Tribolium castaneum: one gene and its partner. Each later gene encodes a partner of the first gene's protein in a complex. Links are inferred from orthologs where the notes say so. Each region holds a gene or a part of one and is shown in the gene's direction. Other genes may lie near its edges. The genes, in order: Not1 and Rcd-1.

Evidence for each region.
Region 2: the proteins of Not1 (region 1) and Rcd-1 are in contact, whole or in part, in a crystal structure (PDB 4CRU), measured with the Homo sapiens proteins. The link is inferred for Tribolium castaneum from reciprocal best matches to the Homo sapiens genes CNOT1 and CNOT9. Residues at the interface, in NP_057368.3 of Homo sapiens: Ile1415, Ala1416, Thr1418, Thr1419, Gln1422, Ile1423, Lys1426, Asp1427, Phe1428, Met1444, Asn1447, Leu1448, Gly1451, Met1452, Met1454, Ile1455, Arg1458, Glu1459, Tyr1548, Gln1549, Arg1552, Met1553, Pro1554, Gln1556, Ile1557, Leu1559, Val1564, Lys1567, Gln1568, Leu1569; in NP_005435.1 of Homo sapiens: Arg19, Glu20, Tyr23, Ile26, Asn27, Ser30, Ser31, Pro32, Arg35, Pro54, Met55, Trp57, His58, Ser59, Phe60, Gly61, Ile63, Ala64, Ala65, Leu67, Gln68, Val71, Asn72, Tyr74, Pro75, Ser76, Ile77, Asn78, Pro79, Thr81.

What each region holds. Positions count from the first base shown.
Region 1 is NC_087394.1:30,451,799-30,468,704, reverse strand, and holds the start of Not1 (CCR4-NOT transcription complex subunit 1), read left to right. Parts: upstream 1-7,358; 5' UTR 7,359-7,673; coding exon 7,674-7,775; exon of another isoform or gene 7,776-7,840; intron 7,841-8,022; coding exon 8,023-10,542; intron 10,543-12,043; coding exon 12,044-14,025; intron 14,026-14,176; coding exon 14,177-14,600; intron 14,601-14,655; coding exon 14,656-15,189; intron 15,190-16,696; coding exon 16,697-16,906. Other genes in the region: mpv17-like protein 2, read left to right, coding at 2,523-3,122; putative leucine-rich repeat-containing protein DDB_G0290503, read left to right, coding at 3,451-3,546, 3,597-3,990, 4,036-4,124, 4,174-4,359, 4,413-4,596, 4,656-4,720, 4,868-4,959, 5,008-5,090 and 4 more.
Region 2 is NC_087398.1:10,407,114-10,423,869, forward strand, and holds Rcd-1 (CCR4-NOT transcription complex subunit 9), read left to right. Parts: upstream 1-9,981; 5' UTR 9,982-10,192; coding exon 10,193-10,305; intron 10,306-10,354; coding exon 10,355-10,492; intron 10,493-10,543; coding exon 10,544-10,721; intron 10,722-10,771; coding exon 10,772-10,966; intron 10,967-11,018; coding exon 11,019-11,110; intron 11,111-11,168; coding exon 11,169-11,346; 3' UTR 11,347-11,699; downstream 11,700-16,756. Other genes in the region: myosin-VIIa, read left to right, coding at 231-257, 309-569, 618-802, 890-2,339, 2,390-3,223, 3,463-3,798, 3,845-4,077, 4,127-6,944 and 1 more. UniProt on the Homo sapiens protein: Component of the CCR4-NOT complex which is one of the major cellular mRNA deadenylases and is linked to various cellular processes including bulk mRNA degradation, miRNA-mediated repression, translational repression during translational initiation and general transcription regulation.

The sequences.
Region 1 (16,906 bases):
ACCCGATTTAAAAATGTGCAGTGCTAACTCGGTTCCTGATGGAGATACGGGAACGGGACCTAGCCTATTCGATAGTTCAGGAAAAATACTACGGGGCAGTAGGGTTTTCAAAAGGGCAGAACCACCCCTCTATCTCCAACAGGAACGAAGATATTTCGCATTTTGTAAATTGCAGATTTTCTTCAATTTTTATAAAAATTTTGATAATGAAAGAAAATTTTAGTGAAATTCAGCAAAATTTTAAAAATGGATTTCGTATTAGGATCATAGGAACGCAAGGAGGTCACGAAATTTTTAGCGGCGTTTGCATGCAACCAGTTATACATATGCGTGTATTTTAAGTTATATATTTTTTCTCATTACCCTTTTGCGTTCCTGTGATCCTGATACGAGATCCATTTTTAAAATTTTGCAAAATTGTTTCATTTTTAACAAAATTTTCTCGCACTCTTAAATTTTTTTTATAAAAATTGAAGAAAATCTGCAATTCACAAAATGCGAAATATCTCCGTTACTGTTGGAGATAGAAGGGTGATTCTGCCCATTTGAAAAGCCAACTGCCCCGTAGTATTTTTCCTGGGCTATCGAATGGGATAGGTCTCGTTCCCGTATCTCAATCAGGAACCGAAATAGCATTGCACATTTTTAAATCGGGAATCGAAGTACATGACGTAAAAGTGCTCCAAAAATTACGTGTGCATGCAAAATTTTAAGTTGTTACGATAACAGGAAGTTTATTTTATTTTGCCCCTAGTAATATTTTCAAATTTTGTTATTTTTAGCGGTTTATATCCTAAATATCTTTTTGCACTTCTTTGATCAAAGGACACTAAGAAGTTGTTTATGAAGAAAAATAAAAGGCAACAATACATTTTATCACTTTATTTAAAAAAAAACTGTAACACAATATCTAGTAGCTATACACAAAAATAATTTCGGAAAAATCACAGTTCTGTGCAGTGGCATCTTCGCTTGACAAACATGCATAATATTAGTGTTTGGAATAACATACGGCCCCTTCCTAAAGGCTCCTCTTCCGAATTGGAACTATCATGAATTGCGTTCTCAACAACGGATTAATACTCGCCTTAACCCAATTATTTTGTACGTTTTCCGTATATTTACTGTGAGAACCAAACCTGGAGACTTAATCCTTAATCCCATTTTGAGTTGGATTTTGCTTATTTTGCAAATAGCAAAATATACTCGATTACTCGTTCGATTCTGCGTTGCTTTTTTCGCGTTCCTCTTCACCGAGCCGGTGTATCTCTTACCTCGTTTTGCCTTACTGTTCCACTGAATCCAAGTTGCCGCAAAGTTGGGTGCTTGGGACCCCACTTGTTCAACGGTTTGGGCAAACCTTTGAATTTCTGGACAAAAATAAAATTCAGAAATAAACCAACCCAGATATTTAAACTCACATCTAACATGATGTGGTGTAACCATCCATTTTAGTGACTGTATAAATCCGGACCACTACTACCATACAACTCCCAACCACTTTGGGTCCTCAACAAATTTATCCTCTGGTATGGTAATCAACTAATCACAGCTCCTGCGAAAATTCTGGTAAACAACAAATAAAGTAACCACCAAATAATCAATCAAACCAATACCAAACGTTTGACAAAATGTGCTCCAAATGAATTTAGATCAATTCAGATTCTATCTTTCCCTTTATTCCTGCGATAAGCACAAACTCTTCAATGTTGTTAAGGAACACTAAAAGAGTGTTCCTGTGATTCTGGTACGAGTTTTATTCCTAAAATTTTTTACAAAATTTGACAGGTTGTCTAGGCAACCAACTATACAAAAGTTTAAATAAAATAATTTTATTAGAATTAAATAAAATCACAATAAAACCAAAATGCGTACTAAGATCACAAAAACGCAATAAAAGTTTTAAATTTTTGGAAAATTTATTTAAACTTCTATATTATTGGTTGCCTGTCTAAACTGTCAAAAATTGCAAGAATTTTATAAAGAATTTTGTAAATGAAAAGAGCGACCTTGGATTCCTGTGAAATTGATGCACATTGTAGATTTAAATTATATTTTAAAATTATGTATATTAAAATAATATTTATAATGTACAGAGTACTGTAATCCCCTGTTTTCAAAAAAATTATATAGATGGCAAAATAAACTCTATAGGTTATCTATGTACAGGTTACTGTCGCCACTGTACAGTGATACTTTGGCATCCAACACCTAGATGTCGCTGCCAACTTTCATTTTATTAACGTATTGCTGTTTCAAAACTGTAAAAACGCTAACGTCACATTTTACCGAAATAAATAAAAATAGATAAAAATGTTAAAGAGTTATGAAAGACAATTGCTTTCTAATGCAAAAGAAATTGTTACAACTTCTATTGAAAAATAAAGCCGATAAAACCTCTACAGAAGTCAAAACGTGTATAATTGGTTGCATAAAACACTAAGTCTAATAATGTACCGGCCTCTCATGCGACACGTGTTACGTGTTGCGGCAGATTTATATTCCTAACCTTAAAGTTTGAAATGAGTACATGTTTCAATTTGGTAAAAACTGTGAAAACAAGAGTAATTTCCAAGTTTGGCAGCTTCGTCAGTACGAGTTTTAGCGACAAATACCTTCTGTGCACAAATGTTGCCCTGTCAGGAACGTTATCTGGGCTGGGGGACATCCTTGAACAAAATTACGAAATGCTAACAGACGACCTGGACAATTGGAACAGAACAAGAACTCGGAACATGTCAATTTGTGGAATTTCAATTGGGGTGATCTGTCATTATTGGTACAATTACCTAGACCGTAAATTACCAGGCTACACAGTTGGCACCGTATGTAAGAAGATCATTGTTGATCAGATTGTCTGCTCTCCTGTGTGCATTGCTACGCTGTTTGTGACTTGTGCAATTTTGGAACGCAAATCGACGAAGGAAGTGGTGAAAGAAATCCAGGAAAAGGCGTGGATTTTATATGCAGCTGAATGGGCTGTATGGCCTGCTGCCCAGTTTATAAACTTTTATTTTCTACCAACTAAGTTTAGGGTGTTGTATGACAATACCATTTCTGTAGGATATGATATTTACACTTCTTATGTAAAACATAAAAAATCAGACAGTGAAAACAGTTGACCTGTGTAGAAATTAGGCAATAAAATTTTAGATTAATACACTTATCTCAGTGCACCTTATCACTTTGTGTAATACGCCTTGTGACAATTTTTTCACATAAATAAACATCAGAAAAACACTTTGTTTTCATTATGTAACCCACAAAGGCATAATTTACATAAATTTTCCTTTTTGAATTTAAATTTTTTATTAGGGACTTTTCGTTCGTGATCGGTTGTTAGAACTGATGGCGGCTTCTTTTTGAACTTTTTCATGGCGTCATTGAAAGTTACTCAAAAGAGAGGTTAAGTTCGGAAAACTTTTATAATTTAACGTTAAGTAGGTGAAAATGAGTGTCTTTCAAGACAATTCGTTAAATGTTGATAACCCCCAAAGCCGGGAGGAGGATGAAGAGCTCGAAGAACAGCGACGACGTCAAGAAGAAGTAAAACTACTCCTAAATTACAAACTTTGCCAATTGGGCTATTCTTTCAGTTAGCTGATTTATTAGCAGATGGGATTCACGCTTTTAATTATGACGACAGTACGATGAATTCATCGGTAACATCAGTAGAAGCAAATGAGCCAAATTATCAAGGGTCATTACGGAACAAAAGTGAATTTAAGTACGAAGGAAGTGGAAAAAGTTTTTTAAACGATGTTACGGACTCAACTATTGAACAGTGTTATAAGGACGCCAGTCAGCAGGAGCAGCTGAAGATTTTATACGATGTTAGAGTCAGGGAAATTAATCGCCTTCAAAAAGATTTCGAAAAATACAAGGAAGAGAAAGCAAAGGAAATTGGAGTACTAAAAAACAAATCGACTCTTGCAGAGGCGGAAATCCGTCACTTACAAATCTCGCTAAGCAATTCTGAAAGCTTATTAGGTCTGTTAACTCATTTGTGCAGCAAATAATAATCATGAATTTTAGTTGAAAAAAACGAAATTATCAACAAGTTAAAGGAAGATTTGGCCTTGAAAGAGTCGAATATCGACAACTTTAAAAAAATTCTAGAAGAAGTAAACGTAATAATAGTAATAAATCCTAATTCTATCCAAAATATTTTAGCAAAACCTAGAAATATGCACATACAAGTCTATGGTCAACGAGTTGCAATTGAAGTTGGCTGATAATAACCCCTTTAGTACAGGGACACGCAAATCAAATTCTGAGGAATTACAAAAAGCTCACCAGGATCAGATCATCAGTCTGGAAACTTTGTATCAGGAACAATCAAAAAAAGCTCAAATTTTGGTACGTGCACAACAGACGCGTCTATTTTTTTGGATTGTATATTATGTTTTAAGGAAAAGGAGAAAACACGTTTGGAGGAAGATTTGAAAAAGTTAATGAAGAGCAAAACAGAAGTGGAGGAGGAAAATAACATGGCCATTATGGCGTTATCCAAAAAACTGCAAAGTGCGCAACAACAATGTAAAGATTTGTTTGTCCTGGGCGAAGCTATAAAAAAAGAAAGTGATCATTTTAAAGGTCTAGGATTTTTATTTCTGATACTGATTCGTGAAATTGTTTTTGTTTGTATGTTTTAGAGAGAATGCAACAAATGGAAGCCAATAAATTTGATATGGCGGATGTCTTTCAAACCAAAAAAATGGTACATCTTCAATAATACGCTTTATAAAACTTGCAATAATCCATTTTTTTATTATTTATAAAGTAGGAATAAATTTAGTCAAGAAAAAAATTTTTGAAATTCTTCGGACGCTACAACCTGTTGATAATAATATGTTATTGATTTTAGGACAAAGAAACAATGGTTGTTCATATGGAAAAATTAAAACGAATGTTGTTAGACAAAGACATTGAAATAAATACGCTGAAAGCTAAATTGAAGTAAAAATTACACGACTTGTTTTTCCAATTAATAAAGTTGACTTTCAGATTTTATGACTCTGACCTAAGCGAATTATTTGAATACAGGCAGATCTTAAGCAAAATGTATTCATGTGAGGTTAAACCATGCAGTAAGTCTGAAATTTTTGGCTTACATCATTTGGACAACGGTAACATTGTAGGTGACAGTGAACATGAAGAACTGATAATTTTCATGCAAAGGCAACTACAGAGTTACCAACAAGCTGTTGAAGATCGTAATAATCAAATAATGAACCTGAATTCGGTAAACAAGGAACTGCAGGAAAAGATTGAGGAAATGATACAGCAAACAAGAAGTGACATTCAAAGCTTGTCGCAGAAATACAGCCTGCCTCAGCTGGAAACAATGAGCAACGAATTAAAAAATGCAGAAGTTACAATCAACAGTTTAAAACAACAATTACTGGAAAATGAGCAAACCCATAAATGTGTACAAGAAGAGTTGAAGAGAGCCGAAGAAGATAAACAAAAACTGTTGGCTCAGTTAGATGAGTTCAGGAAAATAACTGACGAGAACGACAAAGTCAAGACCCAGATTCAGAAAATTTGTCTCAAGCTGGGACTTTCCGAAACCGATTTACTCGAGTCTGACGTTGATGTTCACGAAGTTAATTCAGTAAAGTCCAAATATGGGCAAGTTCACGAACAGTTGCAGCACATTCTTGCCCATCTGGAAGCCACAAGTCCCAGAAGGACAAATTTTGGAATTATTCACAAGATGAAGAAAGACGTGCAAAATTTTCTCAATTCGTTCCACGTCGATAAACTCGAAGCTAAACAAATCCGAGAAAAACTGGAACTTTGGGACAACATGTTGAGCGATTTTATTGAGAGTTTCACACACGGTGTGAAAAATTCCGAATTGAAAGACACTGTTGATGACCTTACAAACGCCAAAACTATGTTAGAGGGTGAAAAATTTGCCCTAGACTATGAGCTGAGGCGCTGCACTAATGAAATTGCCGAAATGAAAAAGGAAATTGCTGCTTTGACTGAAAACAGGAACAATTTGTTGAAAGAATCGGTAGATAATGGGCACACTATTCAAAAATTGAAAGACGAAATTCTCAATTATAAAAAATGTATTAAAGTGATGGAACAAAATAAATTAGAGATTGAAAAACAACTGGAAAACACTCAGAAGCAGCTGAATGATGCAAAACAGGAGACCATAGACTTGCAAAAGACAGTCAATGGAGTAAATGAAGATGTGGTGCGGAAAAAGTTATTCAAAGAGTTGTCAGACGTTGAAAGTGGTTTGGAACAAGATAAAAGAAACAGCGATAGTAGGTTTGTGTTTTAAATTTACTACTCCTATCCCTGAACTTGTAGTTGTGACCAGCGACGTGTTTCAAAAATGTTTGCAAGCACAGCTCTTGAAAACCGAATTGTTGTTGCGTGATCGGTTGCAAGAAGAAAATTCAAAGAAAATGGAAAAAATCGAAGAGGAATACAAGAAAGTCATTCAACAGCGGTCCGATTTGTATCACAAGGAGAAGGAAAAGTGGAAGATTCAGGAAGCAAATTATCGCAAACAGTTTGCTGCAGTTTTGGAGGAATGTGGGCGTAAGATGGAAACTTTAGAAAAGGAAAACATTGAGTTAGCCAAGCGCTTGCACATCCTCATCCAGGAGTGCAAAACGTATAAAAGTAGCAACATCGCGGTTCTGGACAAGTATAACAAACTGGCCACGAACCATAAAAAAGCTTTTGAGGTACCGATTTTTTCTTCAAGTAAGAGCAATTCATCGTTTTATTACAGGATTTAAACAAGCGATGGGCGTCCCTTTTGGAAGCGTATATGTATAATGCAACAAAAATTGAAAAGCAGACCAACAAGAACGTGAAAAATGTCCTGAAAAAAATGGTTTTAAATGACCGAGAGGTAATAACATGCTACGTGTAACGCATTTCTTGTTTATTTAATCAATCTCTATTCCAGATTCAATTAATAGAAAATATTTATAAGGAAAAGATGAAGAAAATAGTTGCTGAGAGGCATAGCAAATCCTGAAAGCTTCATCTTCATTTTCAATATTCTACATGTTTTAATTACAATTTGTATTTTGAACAGTTAAGAAATAAAGAAATATATCTTTGCCAGTTCGTTTTATTTTTATCTGTCCTTTATTCACACTGAGTGATAAGATAACATGCGATAAGTAAATGGAGATAACGTTTTTATTTTGAATTCGGGTGAAAAGAGCGGGTAGAACTTACCGTTCATGACGTGAGGTGCCGCTGCAGTTTCAAATTCGGATCATTAGTTTTCTTCGGCTTTCGAAGCACATGTGAAAAGTTGACGTTTTCCTGCCATTTTCGTGCGTGTTCCGGGTGGTGTAGTTTTTTTTTGCGCGTCTTTTCTGGAAAAATAATCAAAATACACGTAACTATAACCACACATCCCCTCAGGATAGTGAGCTCGTTGTTGGTCATGCGTAGTTTCATACATATGTTTTATTCGATGCATGTGTTGTGTGTTGCGTGAGTCAAAAGATGATTCTGGTAAATTAAAGTGGTGAAAAGTACATTAAAGATTCGATGATGGTCTTGGACCATTTAAAATTTAGTTGTTTTTCAAAAATACATAAGACTTTGTGGATAAAAGCCCCGTGCATACCTAAGAAAGCTTCAAAAGTATTTGAAGCTTTCGAGGCCGTGTTCATGGAACTATGAACCTAGACTCGTTGTCTTTTACCTTGTCACAAATAAGTTATTTAGTTGCATCATTAACCAAAAAGAACTACAAGCAAGTCGTTGCCGAACTCTCAAAGGTAAGAGTAGCGGAAAATTTGAACCGTTGCAAATGCGTGGACTAAAATTATCAGATTGACAAATCGGCCATCTTTTCCATGCCAGCTGTCACGCACAGTTACCGATCGAGCAATGTTGTGGTGAACAAAGGTGTTTTGATTGTTATTATTTTTTTCGTTCACGTTCTTGCAAAATGTCATTCAGATTATCAGAGTGCTTCTTATCACTTAAACAGCTTTTAAATTTGATCAAACGTTCGTTTTATAGTTGGTAACTTTGCATGGTCTGGAGGCGGACCGTCACTTGCTCCAATGTCTATTTTCATCAGTGGACTTTTCTGAATCTACAAGCAAAATAACCGCTCCATCTCCCCAAAATCAAGCATTGTTAGAGCAGTGTTCGAACTTGTTGAACAAACCCTCGCTGCTGACGTCTGTTTGCTACATCACAGACAATCCATTGAGCACCAACAAGGTAACAAAACCGCTTCGGTGGGTCACTTTTTCTGCAGCGGTTCCGTTACAGGCTTTCAAATTCGGACCCCAGTTCTTCCAGCAGTTGAGCAAGTGCCTTCGCCTCTCAGCTGTCCAGGAAGTCGTTTTCGCTCTCGCCCTTCGCCACTCTTCAAACCAGGAAGTTTCGTCTTTAGCCCAGGCACATTTACGGTTAACGGTTCCGACTCTCATCCAGTCGTATATCGAGACTGAAGGCAGCACCCGCCAGCACGAAGGGGGCCTCCACGAGACCACCCCCGAGGTCCTCCACTTGATCCTCTCCGCTGTTCTGAAAGCCCCCAAAGACGTTGGGCTCACCAACAACGCGCACCGGGCGTTTCTCGACACTCTCCAGCGCGACTTCCCCAAAGACCTCGTTCCCGTAGTGTTAGCACCGTTAGTTTACCCCGAACATTGTGAATTGTCGCCGGAAATGTCATCCGAAGGCCCCGGTTTATCCGGGGGCATGTTAGAGACTTCGCTGGCCGATCTGGTGGCTGAGATCGGTTTCGGTTTTACTTCGTCGGTGGAAGAATGTCGGAACAACTTGATGAAGCTTGGGGGACGCGACATCACCCCTGCAACAGTCGCTCGGATCCTTACCGTTATGTGCCGAACACACAGTGGCCTTGAAGATTCACTCAGTCTACAATCGCCAGGCAGTTTTAATAAGGGCAATGAGGGGCGCACTTGGAACGTGGAGGTTTTCGTCCAGGCGTTGAAAGAGGTCGTGCCGAACTTTCAATGGGCCAACACTGTGGCCGAGTTGGACCATCCCGAATTTATTATTAAAGATAGACAAGGACTCATTATTCTAATAAGTGCACTTCGACATGGCCTCCAGACGCTGGGATTCCACCCGGAAACTTTTCCAATTGACCAATTTTATAAGAGATGGACGAACGTCGAGGGGCAGTTCAGTCTCGTTCAACATGTTCTCAAAAATCCAGATGTGTTCTGTTTTGCTGACTATCCCGCGATGACCGTCAGTGTTGACGTTCTCAAAACACCACCGGAACAAGACAGCAAGGAACTGGCCAATTGGAGATCGTTAAATCTGGTCGAGTTGCTCCTGCACATGTCTGAATGTGGCTTGTTCACTTACGTTCAAGAACTGTTCAAATATCCAATGCACAACTGTCCTGATGTCTTAGTCCTCGCATTGTTACAAATACAAGGGCCTGTAACGCTCCTCAGACAAGAATTACTCTCCAACTTGATCCCAATCTTTCTCCTGAATCACCCAAACTCTGCCATAATACTACACCATGCCTGGCACACCACCAACATCAATATCAAATCCATAATAATGCATGCCATGGCCGAATGGTATGTGCGAAGCGACTGCGATCAAACGAGACTGTCCCGAATTCTGGACGTTGCCCAAGACCTGAAAGCCCTCTCAATGCTCCTAAACGCCCAAAACCAACAATCTTATCCGTTCATCATCGACTTGGCTTGTCTTGCATCCAGACGTGAGTACCTCAAGCTGGAAAAGTGGCTCTCGGATAAAATCAGAGAACACGGCGAGCCTTTTGTCCAAGCTTGCGTCAAGTTTTTGCACCGCCGTTGCCCGCAAATCCTGGGCAAAAGTGACGACGCTATGACCAAAGCTTCGTCCCTACCCAACGAAACTTTGACCACGATTATGATTTGTTTGCAATCTTGCATGAACAGCGTCAGTCCCGAGTGCCAAGAGGCGATAATCAACGTCACCACCGGTTGCAGTATTTTACTGAAATCGCGTCAACAGCCGGCTCTTGTTAGGTCCAGGGGCGTTGAAGGCCCGTTCAGTGTTTCGGCAATGTCGGGACAGCTTTACAACCACTCTGCTGTCGATACTATTCCCGGTTTGACCACGAATTTGGCCAGCATGACAATGTCGGGGCCCACTAGTTCGGCGTTTAATTTGCAAGGGGGACTCGGGCCGCTAGTGCAGTCTCCCGGGTCTCCTTCGCGGATTTTGGGTGCTGGTCCTTCAAACAGTCCGTTTCCGATGATGCCGTTGCAACATCAGGGACCAGTAGGGACCAGTTCGTCGCTGGTTTTGGGAGTTAATCAAATCGGGAATATTGGAAGGATGGGCCCGGCTTCGAATATTGATAAAAGCAGGATTCCTGAATATAACTTGTTCCCGGAAATGTCGCCCAACGTATCGAAGGATATTGAAGACGAAGCTAATAGCTATTTTCAAAGGATTTACAATCATCCGCCTCATCCTACTTTGTCCATTGATGAGGTGTTGGATATGTTGAAGAGGTTCCAGGATTCGCACAACAAACGGGAGAGAGAAGTGAGTTTTACCACTTCTTTATATGATAATAATAAAAAACTAATATTGAACCAATTAAATTTACATTAAACTTTGACATTATTTAACAACGTAATGCAACATTTTCAGTCACTTTAGAATTTCAAAAACTAGGGGTTACAGCACGTTGGCGCTCGGGAAAGTAGGAAAAAATTCTATGCAATACTTTAGATAATTTTATAATACTCGAACTAAATTTTTACCAATATCAGTTGAATCGATCACGAGATATTTTGTTCTCGAAAAAAAAATCGTTTGATAAGCAAAGGAGAAGTCAGCGTTTTTTAAATATTTTTTATATTACCGTTAATCTGCGATTTTTGATATTTTGAAGGGTCCTCTCTATCTACACTCCAACATGTACACAAATTACGAATTTTTAAAATGTTGTAAAATGTGTATTTTCTCTTAAAAAAAAATCTTTTCTTTGTAACATATAAAGAATGACATTATTTTATCCGCTGAGGTGGTATTTTTTCGATAAGTCTTTATAACAAAGGCTTATTTTTCTAAAACTGTATGACACTTTTTCTCAGATACGGTTGGCAATATTTAGTCAAGAGTGAACTCATGTAGCCCGTGTAAAATTTCACTCTACCTCCGAACACTTTATTTATAAATTGAGTATTTTTGCATATTTACAAAAAAAAAGAAAAAAAAGACTATGCAACAACATTAGCTAGCCCAAGTTCTTTGAAATCGTTTTTGCAAATTTTTATAAAACAAAGTATATTTTACAAAGTGTGCAAAATATGCTGTTGTTGGTGAAACCCTAAGCAAAGTCTCAAGTTACAAAGACGTTGATGGAACAGGGCCCAGGTAGTGGTTATGAAGGATAAACCCTAAATATTTATTGACTAAATAATAAGGGGCTGTTAACATTGGTTGTAACAATGCCAACAGAATATTTTCACATTTTCTGAGTATTTTTTCGGTTAATATGAAATAACAATAAATGAAGATAATTTTTATTATCCTTGATGTCAGAGTAAATAACATTAATAGCATTAGTTCAGAATAAATCTGTTAAACGCTATAATTCTTGATAACTATTTAATAAATTTATATATCGATAACGTTTCTCTATCTACTTTCACCAAATGACAACACATTGAAAAGAAGCTTCTCAGAATTTCCATCCAAAAGTTTAACCCGAACTTACAAAAGCCGATTTCAAACACCCATCCCTCATTATCCTAAGTAATTTGCATTTTGTGACATACCCTATTGATTTGATAATCTTCGGTAAGTCTTTAAACCTGTCACAGGCAGAGAACTACCCTTTGCAGAAGAACGAAAAACGAAATTTTATCTGAGTAACTAAGTTTACTAATCTCTTATTCTAATTAACTGAAGCAGACATTTTTTGAATATTAATTTATTTTATTGTTTTAAACTGGTCTATTCTGGCTTTTTGTCAAAGGAAAAAGAAAAAGAACGCTTTTATCCAGTTTTTATTACGTTTGCTACGTTTATTTTCCAGGTTTTCAACTGCATGCTGCGAAACCTGTTCGAAGAATACAAATTTTTTCCGCAATACCCGGAGAAGGAACTGTTTATCACAGCCCAACTCTTTGGTGGCATAATCGAAAGGAGCATCGTAACATCTTACGTCGCATTGGGGTTGGCTCTGCGTTTCGTCTTAGAAGCCCTCAAAAAACCAGAGGGATCCAAAATGTATTATTTCGGCATAGCAGCGCTGGATAGATTCAAGAGCCGATTGAAAGACTACCACAAATATTGCGAGCACGTACGAGCCATACCTCATTTTTCCGAATTTCCGTCACATTTACAAGAATATGTCGAGTACGGTTTGCAAAGTGTTGAACCACCAAATAAGCCACAAGGTTCAGTTTTACCCGCCAGTATGGCTTCGATGCTTGCGCCACCAAGCACTCCAGTTTCGCAAGTGTATAAACCGAATTCGACGATAAGTTCGAGTGCCCCGAGCAAGGCAAGTACTACGACCACTAGTACTTTGGGGAGTAGACCATCGATAGCCAATGCAACGAATATTGACACACTTCTGGTCGCCACAGAAAAAGATGAGAAAGTAATTGCGCCACCGGAAGCTCTCCAGGATAAAATTGCCTTCATTTTTAATAACTTGAGTCAACTGAACCTTAAACCGAAGTGTGACGAGTTGCGTGAGCTAGTTTTGGAGGAATACTGGCCTTGGCTATCGCAATATTTGGTAATGAAGAGGGCGTCAATCGAGTTGAATTTTCACGGGCTGTATTCTAATTTCTTGGACACTTTGAATAACAACGAAGTTTACAGAATGGTCACTAAAGAAACGTACAGAAACATCAAAGTTCTGCTACGATCGGATAAAGGAATCGAGAATTTCTCTGATAGATCATTATTGAAGAATTTGGGACACTGGTTGGGCATTTTGACTTTGGCCCGCAACAAACCAATTCTTCAAATCGATTTAGACCTAAAATCACTGCTTGTAGAAGCGTACAATAAAGGCCAACAGGAATTGCTGTACGTGGTGCCATTCGTAGCGAAAGTGATAGAATCGTGCGCTAAAAGCAAAGTCTTCAAGCCACAAAACCCCTGGACCATGGCCATCATGAACGTCCTCGCCGAACTCCACCAAGAGCAGGACTTGAAACTCACTCTGAAATTCGAAATCGAAGTGTTGTGCAAAAACCTCGATATTGACATAACTCAACTGAAACCGACCATGTATTTGAAAGACCCTGAACGCATCCACAAGATCGAGTATCAATTATCTCAACCATCTAAGAAAGAAAACGTTTTAATTCCGTCAACACAAGGCAACATCCCTCAGGGCGCTATAAACGAACCGGAGTTGGTGAACATGATTCCGGGACAGGCGGCTAATTCTCCAGTCACACACAATAACAGTACCACTCCAACTTCGGCATTGTCTGCACCTCCGGAGCCCCGTTTCAGCTATGGGGACATCCAAATTGCCGGAATGACATCTTTTCAGACACACACCGTCGTCAGTCCTTCTATCCTGCTGTTCCAAAACCAGCCACAGTTGAAACCTCTAGTTCGGTCGTCAATTGAACATGCTGTGCAGGAGTGGATCGCGCCTGTTGTTGACCGCTCCATTAAAATCGCTTTGCAAACGTGCGAACAAATCATCAGAAAGGATTTTGCTTTGGATCCTGACGAGGGACGAATGAGACTAGCGGCGCACTTTATGGTCAGGAATCTAACCGCCGGTATGGCAATGATAACGTGCCGAGACCAATTGTTGTCTGCCATAAATACTCACCTGAAACAGGCCCTCTTGGCGAATATTGGTACTCCTACTTTGCAACAAAAGGAGATGATTGAACAAGCGGCCAGTATTATTGCCAATGACAATATGGAGTTGGCGTGTGCCTTTGTTCAAAAAACGGCGGTGGAGAAGGCTATTCCCGAAATTGACAAGCGGTTGATGAGCGAGTACGATCTTAGGAAGATGGCGAGACAAGAAGGACGGTAAGTGAAATTTTAGAGTGCTCTGGCAGGGCAGTATCTACAGTAGATTCAAATACGAATTAACGAAACCTAAAACTCTCTTACTAACATCGTGTCCCTAGTTTTTTTTTAGTTTCGAAGATATTTTGTTATCATTGTTTTGTGTTTTCAGGCGCTATTGTGACGCCATTGCGCTGACTTACCAGGCCGAGCGAATGCCCGAGCAGATTCGCCTAAAAGTGGGCGGAATTTCCAACAGCCAAATGGCTGTGTACGAAGAATTCGCCCGAAATATTCCAGGATTTTTACCGAACGAACGCGATTCGAGCATTTTGATGCAAAAACAAAACTTGGCACCGATTGAAACCCAGATACATCCAACCACACCATTTCCCCTACCACAAGCAGCGGTGCTCAACGATGACTTGACCATAACTTTCGAGAAATTGTGTCTCGAAATCGAACAGTTTGTCCAAGCCACATCCGGACAACCACAATATTCGCACATGAGTTCTAATTTGCTTTTGATCAGAGAATGTCTTCTACATACTTCGAGAAATAGGGATCCGACTCCGCCACAAGCCATGGTACAAAAAGTGAGTGTCAATTTTATGTTTTCGGCGGTTTAATCATTGATTTTTGTGTGTGTAGTGCGTGGAGAGTCTGCAAGATTCCCTTGGTTCGACATTGAGCGAAGCCGACCCTGTTGTTATGCGTTTCAAGGAGATTATAGTTAGAGTTTTGAAATCATTCCAAGATCCGCGTGTTTTCGGACAACAGTGGACTAACAAACTGGTTACGAGATTTTTGACTGAATGTCGTGAAGATTATCGTTACAATATCGACGCTGTCGATACGTTGATCAAGTCTGGTCTTGTTCATGTTCCTCAGTATGATTTGGCACTGGCCCAGTGCATGGAAAACGGCGTGAACTATATGGGAGTCAACTTTGCCATGCAATTGGTCCAGTTGTATCTGATTGACGATCGCAATAACCAGTTTGTGACCGATAATGACCTTTGTAATACGATCGAAATGTTGGCCAAGATACAAACCCACATGAGACAGCCACCTGAAGGTTTGGGCAATATCATCGAGATACTGAGACAAAATCCTGAAACACCGTTCTTTGGAGACCGCGCGCCCGTTGGACCTACTCTTCACATTCACAATGGAATTCTTCAGGTAGGTGTTAAGACATGCATGGCTATTTATTGTGAGGGGTAAACAGCTGACTACAATTTTGTACATCTAACACATTTATTTCGTAAAATACAACCGAACATATTTATTACAGTCGAACTTTGATAACTCGAATGGACAGTTATCAACAAATTTGTGTTATCAGAAATAACTGAAGAAAAAAAAATTAAGATATAAAAACTACATATTTTTAATTAAATGCTCAAATGTTGTTTTGTGCAAAAAAGTTTGATTTTGAAAGACAAATGTCGGTTTATGTTCGATATTTCAAGAAATTCGACTTATCGAAGTTCGATTGTTGGAGTTACTAAATATTATGACTTTTTGCTACGGAATTCGGGTTATCGAAGATCGACTACAATTATATTCACAGCTGAAAAGCACCTACCTATCTCAACTCTGGTCGAATCTTGCAAAAAACACCTCGGAAACTCTTCAAAACGGCCAATGTTTCTCCAAAACTTAGCGGAATTTTTTGAAAATTTTTGGGCTTGTAGGTACAATGTTAGTGCTCAGTTGTTTACTCCTCGGCTGTTTGTAGATTTCCTTCGGTGAAACTTTGCCTTTATGATGTTTCTAAACGATGTGTTTTTTGTGTAGATTAAACGCGACCCGGTTGGGAGTTATGGTTTAAATTTTTTTTCGGGATGCACGGATAGTGATTTCCGGTTTAAGTGAAATGACACGGACATTTTCAAGAAATTGTAACGGCTTTTTTGTTGCCGGATTTTTTACGATTACGGACTGGTAGAGAAGCGTTTTTTAAGAAAATTGTGAGTTTGTAGTCGTGTGTTTGATTACCTTTATAGAGAAAAACTAACCTTTCGATGGGAAAGGTAGTAAATTCTTACAAGTGAAAACTATATTTTCAGTTTTGTTTTTAGTGTTTAGTTTCATTTATTTAGTTAGTTTTGGTTGATTTTGTTTGTTTTTTTCTTGTGTATGACATTGTGAGGTCCAAACGACGTCGTGCAATAAAGAATGTCTACAAATTCTTGACCATCGAAAGGTTGAAATTCAAAAATAAAAACGTGAAATATTTTGTATTATTATAAATTTGTTAAGTGTTTGTTTTTGTCCACAATAAAGCAATGAATAAACGCCTCGGTTGTATTTTTATTCTTTACTCGGAGAAATCTTGCAGATCTTCTCCTTGTTGAACTTGTTGTATATATATGAAATTAACCCATAAAGGTCATTCAAATTGCACTTTTCTGATGTCTAGATTTACAACCGTGTATTTAGAATTTAGATTTTAGTAGTATTTGTTTGTGTTTATTTTGTGTAAAAATTTTACACTAAACTAATTACTTGAAATAAAAAATACAATTTGAATGATGTTTAGTGGAATTAAAGTTGTACTTTGTATGCTTTAAAGAATCTTAGATAAGCGTTTTTCTGTTATTATTTAATGTTGTAAAGTTAATGATAGTGATTATTTTAAGTCCGTTCATAAACGACGAAGATACTCCTTATAGTAAATTTATAGGTGCGCGGGCCGTATCACGATGATCCTCCGGGATTTGTCGAGAAAACCGACTTCCTCTTAAGGGAGTGGATAAGTATCTACAACCAGCCTCAAGGCCGCGACTCAACGAAAGCGTTCGGCGTATTCGTGCATCAAATGAACATGCATGGGATTCTAAAAACCGACGAATTGATTACAAGATTTTTCAGATTGTCCACACAGTTGTGCGTG
Region 2 (16,756 bases), on another chromosome or scaffold:
CGGATTCTTCAGATGTCCAGAAATGTCTATAGATAAAAGCGTTTAAATATAATAGTGAAACAATCGTCTCAAAATATTTTGTTAGTCACCTTATCAGAAAATCTATAGCAGATTCAAAGATTCGGTTATCACAAGCTGATAGTAAAATATTTCACAATAGCCGCGATTAAACGCCATCAGTTAGGCGATCAATTTTGCTAACTATGTGTGTTTTTGAATCATAACTAAAAATGTCGAAAACTAGTGGTCTCGTTGTGGTATGATTTTTCCAAATCTGATCAAAAAACCACAAAATTGTGATATTGTAGGGGGACCACATCTGGATCCAACCCGTGACAAATGGGGAGTTTGATATTTTAATCGGTGGTAAAATAACGGGAATTGAAGAACGCCGAATTCGAGCCAAAGATGACGACGGAAACGAAATTTCCATATCTCACCAGCAAGTCGTCAAAAATATGCACGTATCGTCGGTGGAAGGTGTGGAAGATATGATCAATTTGGGGGATTTACAGGATTATGCTATACTCAGGAACTTGCACAAAAGATACAGAAGTAAAAATATTTACGTAAGTTGTGAAATAATCTCAATGGGGGTGCCAATAACGTGGTTTTAGACTTATATCGGTTCGATGCTGGTTGCTATTAACCCTTACGAGGTTTTACCAATTTACACAAACGCCCTGATTAAGGAATACCGAAATAAAAAATTAAACGAACTGCCGCCTCACATTTTTGCGATAGGAGATAACAGTTATGTTGATATGAAAACGAGCAGAAAAGACCAATGTGTAGTCATCAGGTTTGTTATCTTATCTCGAACGCTTCTGTTGTATCAACCGATCGATTAATCAATTAGCACAATGATTGATGTTTTATTCAATTCTAGTGGCGAGTCAGGGGCCGGAAAGACCGAAAGCACCAAACTAATCCTTCAATATCTAGCGTCCACCAGTGGACAACACTCCTGGATCGAGCAACAAATCCTCGAAGCCAACCCAATTATGGAGGCTTTCGGAAACGCCAAAACGGTCCGCAACGACAATTCGTCGCGTTTTGGCAAATACATCGACATACATTTCAACAAATCTGGCAATATCGAGGGCGCCAGAATCGAGCAGTACCTCCTCGAGAAAAGCCGGATAGTTTCACAAAACGACGGCGAACGCAACTACCACATTTTCTACAGCATGCTGGCTGGACTTAGCAAAGAGGAGAAAAAACGGTTCGATTTGACCGAACCTGACCATTACGTGTATCTGAAAGGCGGGCGAACTTTGACGTGTCAAGGACGCAACGAAGCCAACGAATTTACAGACATTCGCGGAGCGATGAAAGTCCTGAATTTCACGGACAAGGAAGCTAACGATATTTTCCAGTTGTTGGCTGCAATTCTCCACTTGGGGAACTTGAAGTTCAAGGCAGGGACGGCGTCAAACACCGAATCGTCTGAAATTCAGGACGCCACAGCCGCGGATAAAATCGCACGACTTCTGGGGAGTAATAAATTTGATCTGGGGGAAGCCCTCACGAAAAAAACCATTTTTGCGCATGGAGATAAAGTCATTTCGACTCTATCGCAAGAACAAGCGTCTGAGTCGAGACATGCCTTCGTTAAAGGAATCTACGGCAAACTCTTCATCATGATTATCGAAAAAATCAACTCGGCGATTTACCAACCGAAAGGTGCGTCCAAAACTTCAATCGGCGTTTTGGACATTTTCGGGTTTGAAAATTTCAAGGTTAACAGTTTTGAGCAGTTGTGTATCAACTACGCCAACGAAAACTTGCAACAATTTTTCGTCCAACATATCTTCAAGCTGGAGCAAGACTACTACACCAAAGAAGGCATCAATTGGAAAAACATCGCTTTCGTCGATAATCAAGACGTGTTGGACATGATTGGAATGAAACCAATGAATCTGATGTCGCTAATTGACGAAGAATCGAAGTTTCCCAAAGGGACAGACTTTACAATGTTGGCGAAACTACACAACACTCACTCGGCGAAGAAGAATTATCTCAAACCAAAGTCCGACGTCACTCCTGCTTTTGGTGTCCAGCACTTCGCCGGTCCTGTCTACTACGACGTGCCTGGCTTTTTGGAGAAAAATCGGGACTCGTTCAGTCAAGATTTGAAGCAGTTGATACAGGAATCAAACAACGAGCTGCTGAAGCAGATCTTCGCGGAGGATTTCCAGCAAGAAACCAACACGAAACGGACCATCACCCTGTCGTCGCAGTTCAGAAGTTCGCTTGATATTTTAATGAAAACTTTGAACATGTGCCATCCCTACTTCGTCAGGTGCATCAAACCAAACGAGGAGAAAAAACCACAGGTTTGTTCCCGTTTTGTTGTTTCAACGTTGTAAATGTGGATTGTGTTTAGGTTTTTGACAGGACGCTGTGTTGTCGCCAGCTGCGCTATTCCGGAATGATGGAAACGGCGAAGATCCGCCAAGCTGGTTACCCCATCCGTTACACCTACAAAGACTTCGTCGACCGCTTCCGCCACTTGGGCAAAGCGATCCCCCCAAGTACGAAGGGCGATTGCAAACAATCAACGAAGAAAATCTGCGAAACGGTCTTCCAGAACAACGAAGACTTCCAAATGGGGCACACCAAGCTGTTCCTCAAAGCCCACGACCACGAGTTCCTGGAGCAGGAACGCAGCAGGATCTTATCAAAGTACATCCTCGTGCTGCAAAAAGCCATCCGGGGCTGGATTTTCAAACGACGTTTCCGGAAACTACGGGAGGCGACCATCGTTTTCCAAAAATACTGGAGAGCGAGGGGCTATCGCACCAAGTTTCTTACCATCAGAAATGGCTATCAGAGGTTGCAAGCGTCGATTCGGTCCAGACAACTTACGCATTCGTTTGGGAAGGTCCGGAAAAATATCGTTCATTTGCAGGCAGTTGCCAGGGGACATGTGGTTCGGAATAAATCGCAGTTTGGGCGAATTTATGCGATAGTTAAACAGCGAAAGGTCGATGAACAAAATATGAAGAACGCTGGCAACAAGAATTATAGAATTGACGCCGAGACCAAAATGCAAAAGAGTTTGGCTGAACTAAACCGGGAGTACACCTTGAAGTTGAAGCAGCAGGAGGAGGAAGAAAACAAGGCGAAGAAACTGGTTGATGATGTCTTCGAGTTTCTCAAAGATCCGAACCTTCCAGCCACTCCAACCGACATCAGGAAAGAAAATGACGCGTTTATTGTAAGTAACACAAGGAATGTCCAAAGTGTAATAAAATAAACACCACACAAAGTCTTCAATTTTATTTAACAAAAATCGGAACATTGTATAAATTGGAACAGAATTCCACATTCTTTCAGTAACGTTGATCGCAATGTTCGGTAGGCTACTGATTTTGAATATTGATTTCAACGGATCTAATCAATATCCTGATAACCCACTTAATAGCAGCTATTTTTACCTCCTGATAACTCTTGCAGGAGCTGCTCAAGGATGCAAAGTCGGGCGAAAAAGACAAAACCTACGACGAAGAACAGGAAGACTTGTCAGCTTACAACTTTGCGAAATTTGCAGCGACTTACTTCATCAAAAACACTAATCATCACTACTCCAAACGTCCACTCAAAGAATCTTTACTTGATTTACCAACGCCGGACGATATTATCGCAGCGCAAGCTCTCTGGATCACCATTTTGAGGTTCATGGGGGACTTACCGGAACCCAAATTTGAAAATGCAATCAAAACCAACGAATCAGTCATGACGCAAGTGTCGCAAACTTTGAGTCGGAGTTTCACCAACCGGAAGGAGTATCAGGTTAGTCCAGTTTTATTCATCCGTGTTTCTCACTGTTCGAGTTTAGGACATTCTGAAAGATGAGAGAAAAATGGCAAGCTTGACCAAATCCGAAAGGAAGAAACTAGTAAGTATGACTTTGAGACGCAAGAACAAGCTGTTGGAAGACGTGCGACAAGGGCTGGTTGAGGACAACTTTGCGGCCGAAAGCTACAACGAGTGGTTGAATAATCGCAGAGCTACGAACTTGGAAAAGTTGCACTTTATAATCGGGCACGGGATTTTGCGACCAGAACTGCGGTATTTTAACACTGTTGACTAACATTTTGACCGAATTTAATTTTTCTAGTGACGAGATCTTTTGCCAAATTTGCAAACAACTAACCAATAACCCGACCAAAGCCTCACACGCCCGTGGCTGGATTCTGCTCTCGCTGTGCATCGGTTGTTTCCCTCCCTCCGACAGGTTTCTCAACTACTTGCGCGCTTTCATCCGGAGTGGTCCCCCAGGTTACGCCCCGTACTGCGAAGGCCGCTTGAACCGGACTTTCAAAAACGGCGCCCGGACGCAGCCCCCCAGTTGGTTGGAATTAATGGCGACAAGAAACAAGAACCCGATTTCGCTCAAAATCACGTTTATGGACAACAGCGAGCAGGAGGTTGAGGTGGATTCAGCGACCACGTCTGAAGAGATTTGCAAAGAGATAGCAACGAAACGCAACTTGAAGGACGTTTTCGGTTTTTCGCTGTTTATCACGCTGTTTGATAAAGTGATGTCGTTGGGGAGTGACTCTGACCACGTTATGGATGCGATTTCTCAGTGTGAACAATACGCCAAAGAGAAAGGTCAGTCGGAACGCAACGCTCCTTGGAAGCTCTTCTTCAGGAAGGAGATTTTCACGCCGTGGCACAACGCCGCTGATGATTCCGTTGCCACGAGCTTGATCTACCACCAGATAATACGAGGGTTGAAGTTTGGGGAGTACCGCTGTAGTGTTGAGGGCGACGTGGTTTCACTAGTGGCCACCCAGTATTACGTCGATAATGGGGCCCAACTTAACCCGGAAATTTTGCATACCAGAATCGGGGAATACATGCCGACTTATTTAGTCAAGAAAGGCCAAAAGAACTTGGACGAGTGGGAAAAACGGATCAAGGATGCCTTCTCCAAATTACTCTGCGTCAAAAACAAACTCCCAGCGATTAAAGCCCAAGAATTCATCGTCAAATACGCCAAAAACACCTGGCCTATCCTCTTCTCAAAATTCTTCGAAGCCATGCAGACTGGCGGACCCGAGCTTCCGACCAAAACAATGATAATCGCTGTCAACTGGACGGGAATTTACATGATCGACGACCAGGAGCAAATCCTCCTCGAGCTGAGCTTTTGCGACGTCAGTTCGGTCAGTTTCGAGCGAATCGGGCGTTCGCACTTGCACAAGTTCGTCCTGACCACGGTCAGAAACGAAGAATACGTCTTCGTAAGTCCCGACGCCGAAAATATTTGCACCCTCATCCAGTACCTTCTGGACGGCTTGAAGAAACGGTCGACGTACGTGGTGGCGATTCAAGACTACAAACACCAGACCAACGCTCCGTCGTTCCTAGCCCTCAAGAAGGGTGACCTAATAGCCCTGAAGAACGGCCTTAATGGCGAAGCCCTGATGTCGGCCACTTGGGGCTACGGGGAATGCAACGGCTCCGTTGGCGATTTCCCGACCGAGCACGTCTACATCCTCCCAGCCATCACGCAGCCCCCAGCTGACATTTTAACAGCGTTCAAAAAAGAGGGTGTTTTTGGGCCGAAAAAGCCCTCAGCACCTGTCCTGAACACGATGCAGAGGCTGAAACTCTACACTTTGGCCCACTACGCCAATGAGCACTTCCGAGCCGGGAAGAAACTCGTCAATTCCAAACCGTCGGTTCTAACAGCGGCGCGAAGAGCGTCCCGTGAAGAGCTCTGGAAGTACACCAATGAGCCAATCTACCAACCCCACCTCCAGAAACTCTTGACTGACGAAGACTTGAGTAAGGAAGCATGTTCGGCGTTCACCGCGATTTTGAAATACATGGGGGACCTACCGGCCCCCAAAGCCAAATACAGTAACGAGTACACGGATCAAATCTTCTCAGGGGCTCTTAAGAATGACATGCTCAAGGACGAAGTCTACTGCCAGATAATGCGCCAGTTGACGTTCAACCGGCTGTCTTTAAGTGAGGAACGCGGCTGGGAGCTGATGTACTTAGCGACGGGTCTGTTCATCCCAAGTGCCTCCCTAATGACAGAGCTGCACAAGTTCCTGACTTCGAGGACGCACCCCTTCGTTGAGCCGTGTCTGAAGCGGCTGCAGCGGAGCCAGAAGGTGGGCCCGCGCAAATACCCGCCCTATTCCGTCGAAGTTGAGGCCATCCAACACCGCAGCATGGAAATCTACCACAAGATTTACTTCCCTGACGACACCGACGAGGCCTTTGAAGTGGATTCCGTGACCAGGGCGTGCGACCTCTGCAAGACAATTTCATCCAGACTGGAGTTGGAATACACGGACGGGTTCAGCTTGTTTGTGATGATTTCGGATAAAGTGTTCTCGATTCCGGAGGATTACTTCTTCTACGATTTCCTCCACGAGTTGATCTCCTGGATGCGGCAGACGAAACCCAGCTGGAACAGTGCGGCACCGATCCAAGCCCAATACCAGGTGTTCTTCATGAAGAAGCTCTGGATTAACGCCGTGCCTGGCAAGGACCCAAACGCCGATCAAATCTTCCACTTCCACCAAGAACTGCCCAAGTATTTGCGAGGTTTCCACAAGTGCACCAAACAAGACGCGATTAAACTTGCCGCTCTGGTTCTCCACTCGAGGCTTGACAATGACTACAACCAGGCCCAAGCGGCCGTGCAGTACTTGAAGGAGCTGATCCCAGCAGATTTGGTCAAGGCTGCGAGTTCCTCCGAGTGGAAGAAAAGTATTTTAACCGAATTTAAAAAGCTGGGAGATATTAGCATCGAAAAAGCAAAGCTTCGATTCTTGGAAACGATTTACGAGTGGCCCACGTTCGGGTGCACTTTCTTTGAAGTCAAACAAACCACCGATCCTACTTTACCGGGTATTATTTTGATCGGGATTAATAAACTGGGTGTTAATATCTTGCATCCACAAACAAAGGTTTGTTGATTCGGTTTGGTTTGGTTTGTTGTAATTTTTTGCATTTTAGGATATTTTGGCCGTACATGAATTCTCAGAGTTGAGCAATTGGTCCTCGGGGAATACGTTCTTCCACCTAACCATCGGGAACATAATGAGGAAAACGAAGCTTTTGTGCGAAACGTCGCAAGGTTACAAAATGGATGATTTGATTACGTCCTATACCGATTACATTAAAAACACCGCGAAGAAGGAACAGGAAAAAGAAAAATTCTTTTTGTAAATGCGTAATTTTTATTTTATTGTAAATACATAATTGTTGGTGTATAATTCGTGACAATGATAATAAATAAATAATAAAACACAACTAATTCTTTTTTAATACAAAGAAACCACGGTAAGTACATAACTCTAACATTATTTTTGTAATTTGCCGCCATTTTGATGCTTAAATAGGCACCTTAAAGCACTCAACGTCATCAAGTACGATGTCATAATAGTTATTATTTGACGGAACTTTTTACGAAAATTTTTAGGTTGGCAAGAAACAAATTCGGAACCGTATTTTTGGAATTTCACAAATTTCAAGAGGCGTTCATGCAACAATACCATTGTCATCCAAACTCTTGTTTTTTGTCAAAACTTTAATAAAACACATATTTTAAATCAATATTTCACTTTCAAAACAGAAATTACCAACTGTGACGAAATTCCATAAATCGACTAAAATAACAATTTTTGTTTAAAAACGGCAAACAAAAGGCAAATTACAAAAAATAGTATAACTCGTTTTATAAGACCTTATACCACTTATTCTTTCAAAAAACTGAATTCGTGCTTTATGAGTGGTCTTATGGAACTTCTTTTTTAATATACTACTAGAATACAAAGACAAAAAAATCAGTTCACAGTATAATCGAATTACCAGAGATACTAAAACCAAAACACTTTTAAATAAAATAGAAACAAAAGAATTTGGTTTTGTTTATGACAAATCAGTTATTCTTGAAAACTTTGATACAATAACATTTGGATATTAATTTGATAAATAAATTAATGAGTAAAAGTTATCTCCAAAAAAAATGATTAAATTCATGAGTCCAATAAAAACTTTGTCATTTTCTGGAGCGTAGACCGTTTAGGTATGCACCGAATTTTTCAACTCACATAATTCCCTTAAATAAATTTCATCTTCGGCTTTGCCTCTGGGGTGGCCCTGCCAGTCTTTATCTTTTTTAGACATAAGTAGTTCTATATTAATGCTAATCCTCCATTTTTGCTATAACAAGGATAATCCTAACTTAATAATGTCAGTTCCCGGCGCCTCCACCATATTTTACAGGGTGAGATTAAAAGTCATGTGGGTGGTGTTGTAGAAAAGGTTTATTTACAAAAAATGACTACATTGAATGAGAATGCGTACTTACACACTTGGTACCACAAAATAACCACGATGTAACAAGACTAATCAACACCAAGCAGGACTAACCAGGACTAAACTGAACTCCCCAATATTCCGCGTTTTTATTACGTTTTGAGAAGTTGAGTCGACAGTATTGATGACGTTCTAGTGTTCCACTTATGAACGACATCGCAAATGAAACCTCTTTTCGAAACATAATTTTTGTTACAGAATATTAGATAATAAAAAACTGACCCGATTTCCGCGTATGTTACAATAATAAATACTGTTTCTCTTTTAAAGCTGTTAACCTTCATAAAACAAAACTGTGAATTTGTGGATATGATCGAAACGAATTCATTTTTGTGTTCAAGTGGCCTAATAGAAAAACAGGGCAAAATCTTTGAAAAAATGTTAATTAAAAATATGCTTTAAAAACGATGGTTTTTTCACGATTTTTTCTGATTTTCTGTTTACCTCTAAAAATAAAGATGTTTTCCTTAAAAAAGTAGCTGTGTTCACTAGGGGCCCCCTTAGTAGTTGAAAAGTATCGGTTCTTTGCATTTTTCTCATAAGCGGTAAGCATATCAGAAGAATGAGTCAGGTAAACGTTGTAGATCATGCAATCACCATTTTGAGATTTTGCGGCTTCAAAAGTTAAAGTGGTAAAGTCGTGTATAAGAAAGTGACTTGGCACTTTTTTTAAACGTGGTTTGCCACACAAGTGTCTCCTGATAAAGAAAAGTTGATTTGTTTCGAGATTTTATATTTTTTTATTTATTTTCAAAGGTTTATCCCTCGCTTTCCACGCAATATTAATTACAATCAATGTTGATTTGTTGAGTCCAAGCAAAAAAAAGTCAAAGTAACGTGCCGTGTTTTTCTACCTACTGGCAATAATTTAAATTTTAGTTTCAATTTAAACCTCTTATTTATTTTCACTCATTGTCCCAATTTTTGTGTTTTTCAACTAGCAGAACGTCTACCATTACCCAGGGGGCTATAATTCAATGAAAAACTGAAGACGTGAGATGCAACAAAAGCAAAGACAGAGTCATCCTTTTATGAATTAACGTAATTAACGTAATGATTGTTGTAAAAGTTGTAAGCATTTCGATTGGGCAGTTTGAGGTCGGCCATTAAAATTAGGGAGAAAACCAATTACTTTACTTTTTTGGATTCATTGAAGAATTACGTTTTTGGATATGATTGGTCCATTTAAGGTCGGCCATCATGATAACGTGGAAAACCAATCACTTTGAATTTTTGGACTCATTCATAATTTAATAAAATAAGAATGGTTAATTTAAATTATAAGAGCAGTCAATAAATAAACGGTTTTAACTCCTACAGATAAAACTACGCGTTCCAAACGAACCGTTTGGCCTATGCATCAAATGAATTGGGAGAAATCCAATTACCTTATTTAAATTGTTGGTTGCATACTTTATAATTAAAACGTGTTTTTTTTTTGTTGACCTAATTTTATTTAGTTCAATTTATGTCATACTTATTTCATTGATTTTTTTAAAACAAAAAATTATTATTATAAACACTTTTTATTTGAAATAATATAAAAAAACGGGTTCGCTTTAGCCAGACTTCGGGAGTGGAGTATTTGACGTCCGCTTGAAAATATCTGTCAGTTGTCAGTCTGTAATCTTGTAAAATTTGGGGTTGTTAAGGGTTGTTTGTAGTGTTTTCGTCTCAATTTTGTTAAAAATTCACTTCACACAACTAACGTACAAAACATTAAGTAATTGTTGAAAGCAAACGTTTTAGTTTGGAAGTAATTTTTGTGGGCATAGCCTAGCATTACAAAAAACGCTAATTTTGGAAAACTGTGGTCTTGTATCAAGCCAAAATCATGAGCACTCAACCGAGTCCAGCAAACCAAACCGTCGAACGCGAAAAGGTTTTCCAGTGGATTCTGGAACTCACTAATCCAGAAACTAGGGAGAATGCCCTTTTAGAATTAAGGTGAGCGTTTGTAGTTGTGGGCAAACGGTCCAATTTTGGCTATTTGTAGTAAAAAACGCGAAGTTGTACCTGATTTGGCCCCAATGCTGTGGAACAGCTTTGGGACAACGGCGGCTCTCTTGCAAGAAATCATCAATATTTATCCCGCAATAAATCCAGCCACGTTAACTGCTCATCAGTCCAACAGGTACCAAGCGCACAATTTGAGGCAAAACTACTTGTTTGTAATTTTTTGTAGAGTTTGTAACGCTTTGGCGTTGCTCCAGTGCGTGGCCTCCCATCCGGAAACCAGATCTCAGTTTTTGTTGGCACATGTGCCTCTTTTCCTCTATCCTTTCCTGCACACAGTTTCCAAAACTCGCCCTTTTGAGTACTTGAGACTGACAAGTCTTGGAGTAATTGGTGCACTTGTCAAGGTATTTTTCTGATTATTTTTGTTGGCAAAAAGTTTATTTTATTATTGTAGACTGATGAGCAGGAGGTCATTAATTTTCTTCTGACGACTGAAATAATTCCCTTATGCTTGCGAATAATGGAGTCTGGATCTGAACTAAGTAAAACCGTTGCTACCTTTATCTTGCAGAAGATTTTGTTGGACGACAGTGGCCTTTCATACATTTGCCAGACCTATGATAGGTTTAGCCACGTGGCTATGATTTTGGTAAGTTGTTACCAATGAAAAGTGAATTTTAGGTTTGTATTTGAATTTTTAGGGTAAAATGGTTTTGGTTCTGGCGAAGGAACCAAGTGCTAGGCTTTTGAAGCATGTTGTAAGGTGTTATTTAAGATTGTCAGATAATCCAAGGTACTAGATATTTTTCTTGTTTGTTTCAGGTTGTGCTAATTTTTCTTTGCTTTTTTAGGGCTAGAGAAGCATTAAGGCAGTGCCTCCCTGATCACTTACGTGACAACACATTTACCGTGTGTTTGCAAGAAGATAAATCAACGAAACATTGGCTTTCGCAATTGTTGACGAATTTAGAAACACCCGGTACTTCAGAATTACGTCAAGGGGGAATATCACCCTTGACGTCCCAATAGTTGAAAATTGTGATTTAATAACGTCTTTCTTTAGTTTAGTTCAAATATCAAATAACAGTAGAGTATGAAATGTTACTTTTGGACTAGGATTTACGGTGTCTTAAAGAACGAGACAGAATTTTGCAAATTTAGCAGTTTCCATTTATCAGATTCTGCCTTGTTTTTTAAGATGCCAAATGTCCTGGTTCACAAGTCACATTTTATACTCTACTAATAACGAAAGCAATCATTGTATTGTCCTTGTAAATATGCCAACAGATCATTTTACTTTGTATCTTGTTTATATCTTTTAGGATGCCTGATGTGTATTATTTAAATTTTTGTGAAAAAAATAAAATATATAATTTAAATTATGCTGATTGTTTAATTAAAAATACCATAAATTAAACTCGCTCCATAATAGGAAACCAAAAGGCACGTAATATCATTCGAAAAATAAAATTACTTCCCAGAGTTTCACTTTTTCTTCCGCCAAAAATTCTTTACATATTAAATCCTATTTAATTAAACAACTTTTTATATAGTATTGAGGGATATTTACGTAATAATTAATAACTTCAACATCTAACTCGAATTTAATTAATCTTTTGGTTTAACTTATGTCTATATGATTTACATTTTTTAAGTTTAACTTTATAATTGAAAAAAGTATCAAAGTGTACTCTAATTATAAATTCAAATGGTCATATGGTATTATTATTATTATTATTTTCCCTTATTTACTGGAAATGCACGACCAGTATAAATCACAAATTTATAATAGAATATAAGATAAGGTAAATAAAAGAAATCATCCAATGATTAAATACAGTGGCGAACTCTAGATTATCACATGCTAAATAAAACAAGATGGAGGGCAGTCGCTGTACTGAAGCGCCATCTTTTTATATAACAAGTCTAAGGATAAAGGCCAACATCCGTTTAAAAACATTCTAAATTCACACTTTTTCTACAAAGCTACTACTTACTTCAGTTGATAATTTGTTGTAACAAAGATTTCTTTTAATAAGAAGTGAATTTTGAATCGATATTAAAGCATTTTAATGCAAGTCAAAGATTCTTTATAAGTATTATCCCTAAGTCTATTACTAATCTCAAAGTGTTGGCCCCTATCCTTTTTATCTTATTTTTGTAAAAGTACAATTCCTTATACTTTTTATTATAATCGGGAATACCTATATCCCAGACTTTCCTCAATTTGTATACCTAAGCATTCTTAAAGCTTCTCTTAATGCACAATGATTTTTTTCTGTTCCTACTTTAGACAGGTACAAAGAAGAACAATTTCGATCTAATTGGCGGATATTTTCAGAAAGTTTCACAAAATAAGTTTCACGATAAATCTTCAGATAAATCTAGCGAAATAAAATCGGTTTTTTGGCTTGGTGTAGCCAAATTATGCAAATTAACAGTTTTTGCTTGCAATAAGTATTAAACTAAAACTAACTGAAACATAAAAAATAATTTTCGACTTTCGTAGATAATTTCTTGGTCTGTTTGAGCAAAAGTTTGCTAAGAAGGTGAGCTGTTAGATTAAAAATGTGATTAATTGACAAAAAACTTCAAAAAACTTCTTAACTTTATAATTATTACTAGACCCAATTGACACATTATCTAAGTAATCGGAATGTTTCGTAAAATAAATGAGTTTTTAGCTGAAAATAAGGTAGGTAAGTTTCGACATAATTCGGTGATTTATTGGCCTGTTTTAACGAAATTTTGTATGCGTTTTAATAAATCATTTGATTTTGAGACCTAATTAATTAAGCAAGTTTTAAAATCTTGATTTTTACAAACATCTTTCGTAGTTAATTTTTATTTCTTTATTTACAAGAAATGGGTCTTTTAAGAATGTTAAAAATATGAATTTTTACTACAGTAGAGCTCGGTTATAACGTAACAAACCCGGCATATAACGCATCCTAAAGGTATATAATAACAAATTTGGTTATAACGGTGGTTATAATGGTAGTTGTAACCGAACATCAGAATCTTACAACGAAAACTTGCTTTTTCCGTCCAATTTTTACATAAAAAGCAGTATATACGTCTCGGTTATAGCTATAACGTATAATAAACACATGCGGACTTATGTTACAATCTAAGAAACAATAATCATTTACGAAATATAGCATTATCAATATAACATTTCGACAGACACATGAACACACAAAGTAATCACAAATCTTTAAATTTTGCTACAAATGTAATAGTTATTATTGAATAGTTGGAAAATTATTAAACTTATTTAAAGATAGTTTCTTAGCGTCCACTCCCTAATGTAAATTTCGAAAATCTAGCCGGTGTAAGTTGCTCTTTAAATGAACAAAGAGCCACTTATTCTAGTGAGTTACACTCAAGTTATTCTATATAGAAGGTGAACTGCTGTAAATGTATCTTTCAAATAATAAATAATAATAATAATAATTTCGGTAAAAGCAGTGCAGTTTCTTAGCGTCCATTGTGGTGCAAATAGCGAGATCTTAGCATTAATTTTAATATGGGTTATCGTGGTAGCAGGTTAGTCATTTGCACCACAGTGGTTATTAAGAAAGTGAACGAATTTTAAGCATGTTTTCTTCGTATTTTTTCTGTAGATAATTTCTTATAATAAATATTAGTTAATCGAAATGTTATGATTTGTAAAATCATTATTCTAAAACAAACCATGCTTAAATAATGTTATTAGCAAAAAATTGAGCTCAAAATACAAAAAAATTGTTAGTACCTAATGATTGTTTTAAAAATCCAATTAAACCAAAAACAATATTTGAAGACAAAAAAAAACATTTTTAGACTTTCTGACGAGTTATGAAATATTTATCTCGTCATTTCCAACTTGCTGTTACATGGCTGTAGGTAGGACATTAGAGTTACCCTCAAGTATTTCCAGCCAGAAATTAGTGAAAAACAAGTTACTAACACTCCGCACTTAGTAGTAACTGACCAAATTTTAGTTTTTCCTTTAAAATGCTTTATTTTAAGTTTTTATGAGTCAAAATATTTAGGGTTCTTAAAAATGGTTCTCGTATTAATATCTTCAAATAACCAAAAACAAATTCACATGCTCTCTTTTAGTCAGTTGTCAAGAATTTTTACATGAGCCCATCAACACCATCCTGGTTCAAAGATCACATTTTTTTTATTATTAAGTTTATTGTTATTTTTCAGTTAAACTGCATTTTTCGATGATCATCCATTATTATTATCATTATTATCCTTACCTATAAAAATTAATATAAATAATTAATTTTTGTAATTAATTCAGAAAAAAATTGAAAGTTGAAAAAAATCTAATAAAAATCTAGTAGTCTTTGAAAGTTTTTTCCCATCATTATTTATTCCCAAGAGTCCACCACATGGCCAAAAGTATTTCGTTTTCCTGTTAACACTTAATGTTGATGGAAAATAATTTTCAAACAGGACTAGATTCTTTATAGTTTTCAAAATTATTTTCTGAAGTAAATAAAGCAATTGCCGCATCTTAAAAGACTTTCTCAAGAGCCCGAGTAGAAGAATGAATCCTGTAAATTAGTTTCAAAAATGTTACTTAAAACGGCTGCAAAACACTGTGGAAAATGGCGAAAATTGAACTCTTTTTATTCATAGTCTTGAGCATATTTTTTAGGCAACTCTTTCGCAAGATATTCCCTTGGATATATTATTTGATAAAAAAAGTTTCATCCGGTAAGCAGATGGGTCCCGGACGACCCTAATTCGGATCCTGTATGAACCGACTTAATACTATAGATTTTTTACTAAAGTCCGAATTAAGTAGGTATATTTTCTTCTGAAACCGGTAGATATGTGGACGAAGTCTTACTTTAATAGCTGTACAGTGGCTACAGGTATTTAATACTTATTACAATTAAGCTTCTATGTAAATATTAATAATAATTTTCCTCGTCGGTCTGTGTCCGCATTAAAAATTCTCCAGGACAGCCAAATTAGGGGAAGATGTAGGTAGTGTAGTAGATAGATGTGAATAGCATTCACCACCACCCTTATTAGTTTCCCGCCCGTTTTATAATGGCGGCTGGAAGACGCCAATGAAAATAAAACGCGGGAGAAACCATTGAGTAGGGGAAGTTAGACTCAAGGGTCGTTTACCCTTGGATGTTGCTGTATACGCATATAAAGTGAAAGTGAAAGTAAAGCGAAGGACAGAGAAAGTATTTTAATAAAGTATGAAACGTTTTATTTTTGACGGTCTCTCCATTAAACCCACATCTAGTACATCTATACTCTAAGTAAAGTGCATCATATCTGCACTTTAAGTTCACTAAATCGATCGGCAAGTGAAGCAAAAAATTGAAAAATAGTCATGAATAGTAATTTACTCGACGTGGAGTTGTATTTTAGTGAGCATTTCATACAAACGGGATTATTAAATAGCAACAGGACAAAATAATGTAACACGATCCTTATACAATAAGACGGCACATTTAAAAACAGATTTATCATTTTGTAACAACTAAAGATAATAATAAAAGCGGCTTTGAAAACCAGTTCGTAAATTCAGGGGCTCTGCAGAACAACCCACATTTAAAGTGTCTTAGATATTATAACACTGCTAAATTATGACATTAATGCTTGATTTATTATTGCAATAAAATTCTTCAAAATGTGCCACGTAATAACAATACGCTTCATTGCTTAATTTAATTTTTACTTTGTGATTGAAGTTATAGGGGTAACATCGAGTTGTAGCAACTTTACAAAACATCAACAACACACAGAGGGATGTGTTTCGAGGTATCACTTTATTGATCTCACTCAAAATAAATTGTGTGTATGTATAGACTGGAGTCGACGTTCGATGAGCACAGACTGTAGGAAAAACACAGTTAGAAAAAAAGAGAAGTTATTATACAAAAATATTTCCAAAAGAAATTAATTAATTTTGATGTAACTACCGAAGATTTATAAAATTGTTTATGGAATCATTAGGAGAAAAATACCAATTAGATTTTAAATTAAAGGCATGCTAACTTTAACAAATGATACTTATTTGAATTTTAACCGTTGTATGTAACACTAACCCCCGGTTTTTAAAACCTATCGTTATTAGATAAATTTTATCGATGCTAAGGAATAAGGAAGATTGTGTTGGTATTAGTATAAAACTTATGAAACGATAAAAATTATATTATCTAACGATAACTTGCTCTATTAGATAGAAACTGGGGGTATAAGACCTGATATTTTTGCGAATTTTGCTCCGAAAATGTCAGTAAGGTCTAGTAAATAAAAAATGGTCGTCTTGTTGGCATACCTTCATCATGCGTTGAAGAAAAAATATTTTAATTTTTATTTTGTTTAAAATTAAAATATAATGTCGTTTTAAACTTTAAGATACATTTATAAATAATGACGACAGGAAAATTACATTTTTTGTAGTGAAGCTCCA